Ovis aries: one gene and its partner. The protein of the gene in region 2 interacts with the protein of the main gene of each other region in a pairwise test. Links are inferred from orthologs where the notes say so. Each region holds a gene or a part of one and is shown on either strand. Other genes may lie near its edges.

Evidence for each region.
Region 1: the proteins of CXCL16 (region 2) and TMEM239 interact in a two-hybrid assay, tested with the Homo sapiens proteins (2 studies listed by BioGRID). The two-hybrid records come from large-scale screens. The link is inferred for Ovis aries from reciprocal best matches to the Homo sapiens genes CXCL16 and TMEM239.

Annotation. Positions count from the first base shown.
Region 1 is NC_056066.1:52,098,443-52,103,037, reverse strand, and holds the start of TMEM239 (transmembrane protein 239), read left to right. Parts: upstream 1-1,736; 5' UTR 1,737-1,872; coding exon of another isoform or gene 1,873-1,963; 5' UTR 1,964-2,068; coding exon of another isoform or gene 2,069-2,208; 5' UTR 2,209-2,240; intron 2,241-2,301; coding exon of another isoform or gene 2,302-2,411; intron 2,412-2,564; coding exon of another isoform or gene 2,565-2,726; intron 2,727-4,042; coding exon of another isoform or gene 4,043-4,199; exon of another isoform or gene 4,200-4,262; intron 4,263-4,595. Other genes in the region: CPXM1 (probable carboxypeptidase X1), read right to left, coding at 1-166, 254-450, 538-661, 982-1,070, 1,155-1,305, 1,873-1,963, 2,069-2,208, 2,302-2,411 and 2 more.
Region 2 is NC_056064.1:26,494,722-26,499,288, forward strand, and holds the start of CXCL16 (C-X-C motif chemokine 16), read left to right. Parts: upstream 1-1,704; 5' UTR 1,705-2,211; coding exon 2,212-2,275; intron 2,276-2,612; coding exon 2,613-2,751; intron 2,752-3,066; coding exon 3,067-3,149; intron 3,150-4,476; coding exon 4,477-4,567. Other genes in the region: ZMYND15 (zinc finger MYND domain-containing protein 15), read right to left, coding at 1-80, 460-1,042. UniProt on the Homo sapiens protein: Acts as a scavenger receptor on macrophages, which specifically binds to OxLDL (oxidized low density lipoprotein), suggesting that it may be involved in pathophysiology such as atherogenesis. Induces a strong chemotactic response. Induces calcium mobilization.

The DNA of each region.
Region 1 (4,595 bases), on a different chromosome or scaffold from region 2:
GAGTGTAGTAAGCGGGCAGTGGCAGGTGATGGTTGGGGACCGTGTCAGGTACCAGCCCTTCATCTTCTGCTTCCCACAGTGGTGTGTTGAGGTCAGCAAAATTATGGTTAAGATCAATGCCCTGATGGTTCCAGCGGCCCTCTGCCCAGCCCACCAGCTCCGAGCCCTGCCAGGGAGAAAGTCTGTTCAAGCAAAGCAGGCTCCAGGCACCATGGCAGAAGGAGCAGACTGGCCCTCAGCCCAAGTGCCCTACCCGGCGGAAGGCAGTCTCGTAGCCGTCAGGATTCATGGAGGGCAGCAGGTGAATGCGCGTCTCGGTGAGCAGCCGGGTCACTCTCGGGTCCCCTCTCAGGAACTCACGACACAGGAACTGCATTAGAAGCAGGAGCAACTCCCGCCCCAAGGCCTCATTCCCATGCATGCCGGCCACATAGCGTACCTCAGGCTCTCCTGGGAACAAATAGGGGCTTGCAGCTGGCTCATGCACCTGCCCCTCCCTGCTGCTGTGCCCACCTCTTCCACCCCACCTGCCAGTACCCAGCTCATGCTCCCCGGGCTGGTCTGACATTTCCATCACATACAGCTTCAAGCCCTGGTGGCTCCTCCCGATGCTGTAGATGCGGGTGATGTTGGGGCATTGCTCGTTCACTTGCTTCATCAGCTGGGGGGTGAGTGTAGCATGGTGAGGGGCATGGGAGGAGCAGACCCAGGGCTCAGACCACACGAGGCCATAGAAGGACTTCAAAAGTTTGCGAGGGCCCATACGATGGGGACACCATTGGCGCAATACAGGAGGGGGCAGGAGCCAAGGAAGGAACGGTCAGAATAAGAGAGGCACCAAAGCAAGGGAAATCGTAGAAGTTTAGGGGTCAAAAAGAGGGTGAGATGGAGAGGGACACGAGGGCAATCATAGCAAGTTATGCCCTGGTGGGCAGGAGACCTGAGATGAGCAGATCCTCCCTCCTGGGTCATAGGGGTTACCTTCCTCATGGCTTTATAATCATGATGCCGGAAGTCTAGTGAGTCGGAGGATCCCAGCACGGGAACCTCAGGGAACGGACCATTGGGATCTGGTAGAGGATGAGTTCACAGTAAATGGTGAATTCCCAGGGGAGGGTGTGCCCTGCCCAACTAACCCTTGTCTTTCTCCCCACCTGAGACTGGGCAGGCCAGAATCTCTGCCCGGAGGCAAGATGCACCTCCCTGGAGCCAGGTCTGGGGCAGCAGGCGAATGAAACGGGCCACCTGGGGCTCAGGCAGGAGATTTAGCACTGGTGTCTCTGGATCCGAATTGGCAGGAAATACCTGAGGGCATCAAGTCCTTTGTAAGGGCCGCTTGAACCCCGGCAGCCTGGCTCAGGGCCCAGGAAGATGCTCAGGCCTGTGAGCTCACTGAAAAACCCACCCTAGTGGGCTCAGCTAGACACTTGCTCTCTGCGTCAAACACAGATTGCTGCCCACATCCTTTGCTAACAGGCAGCCCTAGGCAGTCATCCTTTCCAGTTTAGTCACAGCTCATTAGACCAATATGGCCATGTGACTCAGCAGTAGGCAATCCTGAAGCTGGCCAGGATCCCACACTGTAGCCTGAGGAGATGAGAAGTGATGCAAGGACTGAGGCCCATCGCCAGAAGGGGTGTTCCAGCAGGAAGCTGTGGCATGACGAAGTATTTGGGAAGGATGCGGGCATGGTCCAAAGCAACCTGGCTCCTGAGGCTGTCTGCTGGGTGCCACCCACCCTTTCTCCTGGGATGCCAAAGTGGGCACCTGTGTCTTGTCCTCAGAGGAGTCCAAGCCCAGCCCAGCACCCTACAGTGGGCCAGGAGCCCAGCTCCCAGCATAGAGGGCCCCAGCCACCATGGGACTTCTCACCGCATCCATCCCGCTGCTGCGATTCTTACTCCCCCACCAGGTCTGACTGTCATTGCTGAACTGGACTTTGTATGAAGTGACCCAGTCATACCTGGCAGGAAAGGTGGGTAGAGATCATGGGTGGCCCCCAAGCCTCCCACCCCAGTCCTCCTGAGTCTGCCCATAACTTTCCTGGCCTGGAGCTGTCCTGCCTCACCTCCAGATGGAGTTCCTGCCCTGTGTGATAATGCCCGAGAAGCGGGTGAGGTGTCCAGCATCCACCTGAAGCCATGGCTCAGCATCCTGCTGCTCGGCACACCAGGCCCCATCAAAAAGATCACCATCTTCCAGGCCTGACTGTGGGCACGGGACGCAGCAATCAGAACTGGGTAGGCCTTAAGGGAAGGTGGGAGGGGCAGGGAAGAAGGTCCTAGGGGTTGCCTTGCTGACCTGGATGTTGAGCCGTCCTCTGTGTGGTCCAAGACCAAAGGATTGGCTGCTAGATGCGTAGAGCTGGTTATCTGAAACTCGCAGGGACTCCAGGCCCAAAGGGGGACAGTCTGGGACAGGGACAAATCAGTAAGTTGGGACCAGAGAAACAGTGGTCAGAGCAGGTGGAAAGCTGAACCCAAGCTTGCCCGTGTGGCCAAGAGCTACATTAGTTCATGTCCCAGAGACTGCAAGTCTGGGCAAGGCCCTTGGAGTGGTGGTACCTGGTTCTTGCTTCTCAGTGAGGTCAAGGGTCCCTGTAGGGCTGGTGGTCACTGAAGGCCTGGCAGTCACTGGGGGTCTGGGGTGAGTTAGCTTCTTTCGCTTCTTCGTGACAATCTTTTTCTTCTTGATGACTCGAATCCGGACATGCTGTTCTGAAGTCCCTGGAGACCAAACAGGCAGAGCAGCAGGGAAGGAAAGGATGGCAGGAAACCTCAAATGGAGCGGTCTACCACCCCAAGAAAACCTGCAAGTCCACAGAAGGCCCCACCACACGTATCCAAGGACCTTAGCATGGACTTTAAGGCCCTCAGTCTGACCCCAACCTACTGTTCCAGCCACTTCCTTGATTCCTTCTCCCCTCTGGTGTGACTACTTGCTTGGCCCTCACCAATAGAGGGCTACACTGCCACCAGGAACTACTTGCTTGCTCCAAAGAGCTGAAGTTAGTTCTTTAACTCCTTCTTTTCCTGGCTGTCCCCTTCCCTATCGTATATCCATCACCTTTGACTTTCTTTTCGAATTCCCATTCTTTCTTCACATCTCAGTCCAGATGCATTTCGGGGAGCCTTCCTTAGCTCCAGGCTCAGTCTCATGCCCTCAAAGCCTCTGTGCCACTTCCATCACTGTGCTGAGAGGTCCTGTCCTCAAACTCATGTCTGTCCAGGTTTTCCAGCTTTCCAGACTTGGACCCCTGCCCTGCCTGCCCTTCAGTATAAAGCATTCATGGCACAGGGCAGATGCCACTGGTTCCCCACTGAGATCCACAGCTGCCCACCCCACCCCCCACACACACACTGCACATAACTGTGTCAGGGGTTGGTACCTTTGCACATACTGTTTCCCTCTTGGCTGCGCTCCTCTTCAGCTCTTCCTAATTCAGAGCTACCTTTCAGAACCAGTTCCACCTGCCTCTCCCAAGAAGCCCTCTGAGGCTGCCAATCCCCGTGCTTTCCTCCTCTCTCTTGCCACCTCTGAGAAGCTGAGAAGTCCGGCAGCCTTCCTGGTCCCCACCCCAGGCAGAGCCGCGTCCCTCCAGGGCACCTGGCAGAGAGCGCTTCCTCCCTTCCCCTGTTCTTTCCTTTCAACCGCTGGCTCAAGCCCACACAGTCTTGCTCTGCACCCTCCTCGGTGTCTTTGCACCTCTCTCTACCCTCCTCCTGGCTCTAGCCTCAGTTTCCCCATCCGAGAAACAAGAAAGTTTGGGGCTGGAAGAAGCAGCATCCCACTGGCTCCTGTCCCAGGACTGCTGACTTGGTCTGGCCGGGAACTAGGGCTGCTGAGTCAGCAGCCATTGTACCGCGCAGGGAGTGTGTGCGCGTGGGGCAGAGTCGCCACCCAGGCGCTAGGCAGAGTGCGGCGTGTGTGGCGTGTGTGAGGTGTGTGCGCGCGTGCTGGGGAGGGGTCGCCACACGGGGGTCGGAAGAGTGGGACAACCGATTAGCGGGAGAAGCGGGCCGTGGGTAGGACGGAAGCTCACCTTTCTCCTTCCCCGCGGACGGCTGAGCCGGGCTGCTACGGGGGGTCGGGACCGGGGCCTTGGTGGTCGCCAGGCCCAGCACGGAGGTGCTGGGCGCCCCTAGATCCACCTCGACGGCAGGCGCGAAGGCGGCCAAGGCGAGCAGGAGACCCCACATGGCGGGGTCCAGGGCGCGGACGCACTGGTCTCGCGGCGGCCGGTGGGCTCGCCTTTTCCTGCTGGGGCTCCGGAGCCCCCCGCCCCTTCCTGCCGCCGCTGCACGCCCGCCCACAGCCGGCTCGCTGGCCTCGGACCCGGGAGCCGAGGGGTTGGGAGGGGAGGGGAGGAAGAGAAGGGAGGAGCAAGGGGAGGGCCCAGGCTGGCCGCCCCGGGTCTCCGCACCCACCGACCCTGCCCTCATCTCCACTCCCCCCGCCCCTCCGCATCCGCCCTCGAGCTCCCGCCTCGCTCGGGCTCTGCCCTTTACCGTCGCAAAGGCCCCAGGCTCCCTGGATTCTACTCAGTCCTGTGAGCCCGTCCCGCAGTGGGCACCTACTGTGTACCATGCCCGGCG
Region 2 (4,567 bases):
CATCAGCAGGTCAATGCCCAGGATGATGCCATGCTCATCCGTCACCAGTAGGAGACAGGAAAGGTGCAAGGGGGCAGCATCTGCAGAAGACAGGAAAAGTCGGGGGTAGAGGGGGAAGATTGTTAGGGGCAGGGTACCAAATCAGATACTCCTGGGGCCAGGAGAGGAGACTAGGTAGAGAGGGCAGGCCTTTTTGGAAGGGGACAGCGGCTCCACAGAACGAGCATTTGCTGCCAGGCAGAAATGTGGGGGTGTGCTGTGGGAACTTCACATTTTTCTTGAGGTGTTAACTCTCGACTTCTGGAATTGTTTTTTTCTTTTACTATTTAAATGCTGGTGAAACTTAAAAAAAAATGTGGATCAATGAAAACACCTTTTCAGGCCAGCTTGGCCTGAGGCCCACCCATGTGTGACTCCTAACTGCGCTCTGAGGGGGCCAGCGGTGTCCCGGGTTCTTACCGCCTCTCCGCCCCATCCTCCTCTCAGGCCCCGGCCCGTCTTCTGCCCTGTCTTCTTTGCCATCCTCGCCACCTCCAGCCTCCTGCTGGGCATCCTCTGGCTCCCCTGGAGGGGTGGCTTCCCGGGGGGGCTCCCTGCTGCCAGGGGCCGGCTCCCCATCCTCGTCCGTTTCTACCTTTTTGGTGCCGGCACCCTCCTCCTTTCCATTCTCTTCTTCTTCCTCCTCCTCCTCCTCCTCTCCTTGCTCCCCTTCCTCCAGGCTGACAAAGCTGACATAGGGACTTAGGTCTCGCAGGTGGAGTGGGGGCTCATCTCCCAGCAGCCGGGCAGCCCCCAGGCCTGGTCCAGGGCCTGGCTCTGCCCCTTGCCCCAGGCTGATGCCCACACTGCGGTTGGGCAAGACGTGGAGCACCCAAAGGGCCGGGTCCTGGGGCAACCTTCTGATCTGAGCCTCCAGCTGCCGCCAGCGACCCTCAAGGCTGGTCCCTACAGCCCCGCGCTCTGCCACAAACTTGTGGAACCAGCCAAAGAGGAGGGCAGCAAAATCAAGGAATTCATCCCGGTATCCAGACACAAACTCCATGTCTTCAGGGGCACAGGGCCTGAGCCAGACTGAGAAGAGGAAGGGATGTATGGTGAGGGAGAGGCACCGGGGACAGTGTGGGTTGGAGGGGTCCCTTAGGGTGGAATCTATGGATGGATGTTGGGAGCTAGAAAGGAGGTTTTAGGGCTGAGGATGCGAGTTCAGGATGAGAATGGGGGCCAGACTTGAAAGTGGGTGATTAGGGTTAAAAGTGAGTAGTCAGGAGGGAGATAATATTTGGGGCTCCAAATCTGAGGCTCAAACCCTCAAACGTAGGGGTTGAATTAAATCGAGGATCGAAGTGGGAGAGGGTTAATCCTATGGGGAAGAGTTCTGGACTCTTCTGTGGGGTGTGGGAAGAGGGCATCAGAGGCAGGGCCTCCCTTCGCCTTGGACGGGGTTAGGGTTGGCGGTGAACCCCAGTACACCTAGCCCCGCCCCGGCCGCTCCACTACTCCGGTACCTGCAGCCGCCACCACTTTTCGAAGGTAAATACCTCGGGGTGCGGTGTGACGTCAGGCTGCCCGAGCCCGTGGCCGGCTGCTCGGGTGGCCACGCCCCAAAGTCTGGTGCGGCGCGGAGGCGCCCGGGTCAGTGTCTGCGCGGGCGGAGCGCGCGGACTGGTGCTGACAGTCGCTTCGCCCACGTGACTGAGCCCGGTCAAAACGTGAAAGCCTCTCTAAGGAGCAGGTCACAGAGACTGAGCTGCGGAGGGCAGGCGGGCGGTGCTGGCATCTCTGGGCCGGACGAATCGGCCCAGGGGGCAGGGCTGCCATCCAGCCGAGCCGTGCACCTCGGGCTTCCTTTCGCTTTCTCTCGCCTTCTTCCGTCATTCCTGGTTATCCCTCGACGAGGCTCTGGGCTGGGTGCGGGGGTGCTGGCGGAGAAACTCCACCTCCCGGAGTTTCCCCGCCGCCCGCAAGCCTGCGATCACGCGGTTGCGACGGTACTGACCCCACTGTCGATTTGAGACGGTGAGGACGCCGGGAGGGACGCGCCGCCCCCCTCGCGACCTGCCTCGGCCGGCCGGGCCCCAGCGCCGACGACCGCCGTGTCCCTCGGAATCACAGGCGAAGCGGGAGAAGGAAGCGAAAGCCATTGAGAAACCGGCTGGTCGTCAGGCTCCGGAGAACGTCGGGGAGTCAGACAGAACGCGGCGGGCCGAGACGATGCTGGGCCGGGCATCCCGGTTACTCTTGGTCCTACTGTTTGTAGCTTGTCTCACTCCTTCAGGTTTGTCAGAGGCCCGGAGCCCCGAATCCGGGGAAGGAAACGGGCGGGAGGCACTAGCGCCGCGGGGTTGAGTTAAGTGAGGAGCCAGGGTCCCCAAGGCAGCTGGGGCAGGGGGAGGGCCAGCTGCTTGGGCTTGGGGATGGGCTGGGGAACACCTGGGTCCAGATGTGATTATGGACATATTTGGGGAGAGTGAAGCGTGGGTCGAGCCGGGGTCGGGGCTCAGATCCTGGGGTCTACGGGAGACACTGTAGCGAGGCTGTGGGTTGAAGTCTTAGTAGCAGCTGCATGAGCCCCTTGAACCGGGGCCTGTGCGAGCCACTTCCATCCCTCTCAGGCAATGGCAACGAAGGCAGCAAGGTTGGGAGGTGTCCCTGCAATCGTACAATCCCTTCCCGTTCCCCTCCAAACGAGAGTGAAATGAGTCATCTCCGAAAATACCTGACAGCATATCAGCGCTGTTTTTCCTACATCAGGTAATCTCACCACCCACCCCTGGGAGGGCTGCGCGGCGCCCCTCGCCCCCAGCCCTTCAGGATCCTCTGGTCAAACTCGATCTCCTTCTGGGAGGACGTCTAGCCCCTGCCCCATTCCTCCCGGTCACGTTCGCCCTAATTCGTTGCACCTTCAGTTTCCCTTTTCCCCTGTCCCACCTACCTGGAATTTCCCAGTCCCAGCAGAAACTGCCGAAGCTCGGGAGTGACCTCACTTCCTTGGAACCAGGAGAGAGCTGAGAATAGCGGGGGTGGGACAGAGAGTGGGGACACATCTGAAACCAGGTCGTTCCTCAGGTTCCAGCTACCCCGCGGAACTGTGTGTGGAGGCAGCACTGACCGCTGGGTTCAGGAACTGATGCGCTGCTTTGACAGCGGAGGTGAGAGCTTCCCCCTCCTCCCTAGGCCCTGTCCCCAGGGCTCCTGTGCGGCCCCCTTACACCCTTCTTTGCCTCAGCCCTTTCTTCTTCAGTACACTTTGACTTAAGTTCCTCTTTACCATAAACCCTTCACCATCACTTTCATGATTTTTGCCAATACTTCCTATCACTGTGCATTTACTTAATGTTGTTCTTGAAATCAAGGCACTATTTTTATGTTCGGGTATTTTGTGGTGGCGGCTTCCCCAGTGGCTCAGGGGTAAAGAATCTACCTGCCAGTGGAGGAGATAGTGGGTTCTATCCTTGGGTTGGAAGGATCCCCTGGAGAAGATGTCACTCTTGACTGGGAAATCCCATGGACAGAGGAGCCTTATGGGCTATAGTCCATGGAGCTGCAAAAGAGTCAGACATTACTTGATGACTAAACAACAAGAACAATTTTATTATGGAAATTTGAAGACATGTACAAAAGTTGAGAGATTTGTCCAGTGAACATCCATATAACCACCACCTAATTCTATGTTTGATTTTTATATTTGATGTATTTTATATACATCCATAATAAAGCAAATATATTTTATATTTTATAATATCGAGTTTAAGGCATTGTAACTATATTTGCTTTATTGCCCACCCATCTATCTATGCATCCCTCTATCCCTCATTGATCTGCCTAATATCTTTTTTGTACACTTCCAAGTAAGTTGCAGGTTTGACTATACTTTATTCCCAGACATTTCACCATGTATATTATTAAGGAGAGTTCTGTATTTTATTGTTCCTTTGAAGTGAAATTTTAAAACAATGAAATGAATAAATAAGTGTATACAGCTACTTTTGAAAAACTTAATGGCAACTTGTCCTAAGCAGGAACACCTGTGAAGTCACAAATTTGATATGCTGGTTGTATTTTACCCCTAAAATAAATACACAACCATTAAGACACCAGGTGTTCTTCCAGGTCCCAGCACCTATCTGATTTCATCTACTCTTCCTTGCTACTCTGGCTTTTGTTAATAAAATTATCCCTAAGTTACAGCTAAAAGAAATGAACCCCAGAGAGGTTAGGCAACAAGGGGCAAGGTCACAGCTACTTTGTAGCAGAGTCTGGGTTCCAACCTGGGTGTCCTGACTTTCCAGGACATGATTGCCCCAGGGGTTCCATGTTGTAGTTGCTCACTTCCATCTCTCCCTATTTTCCCTCTACCCTCCTTTCCTGGCCTTCAGCTGTTCCCTTGGTGTTTTCCTTGACCCACTACCCTGCCCTCTGTCTAGTTCTTCACCTTGTAACCTCATAGCCCTGATTCCTCACTTCTTGCTTCTTCAGAATGTAGACATGCTCAACCTAGGGTGGTGACCCACCAGGCGGGTGCACCTCTTCACAGCACCCAGCTTCCTGAGCCCACAGAAGCAGCACC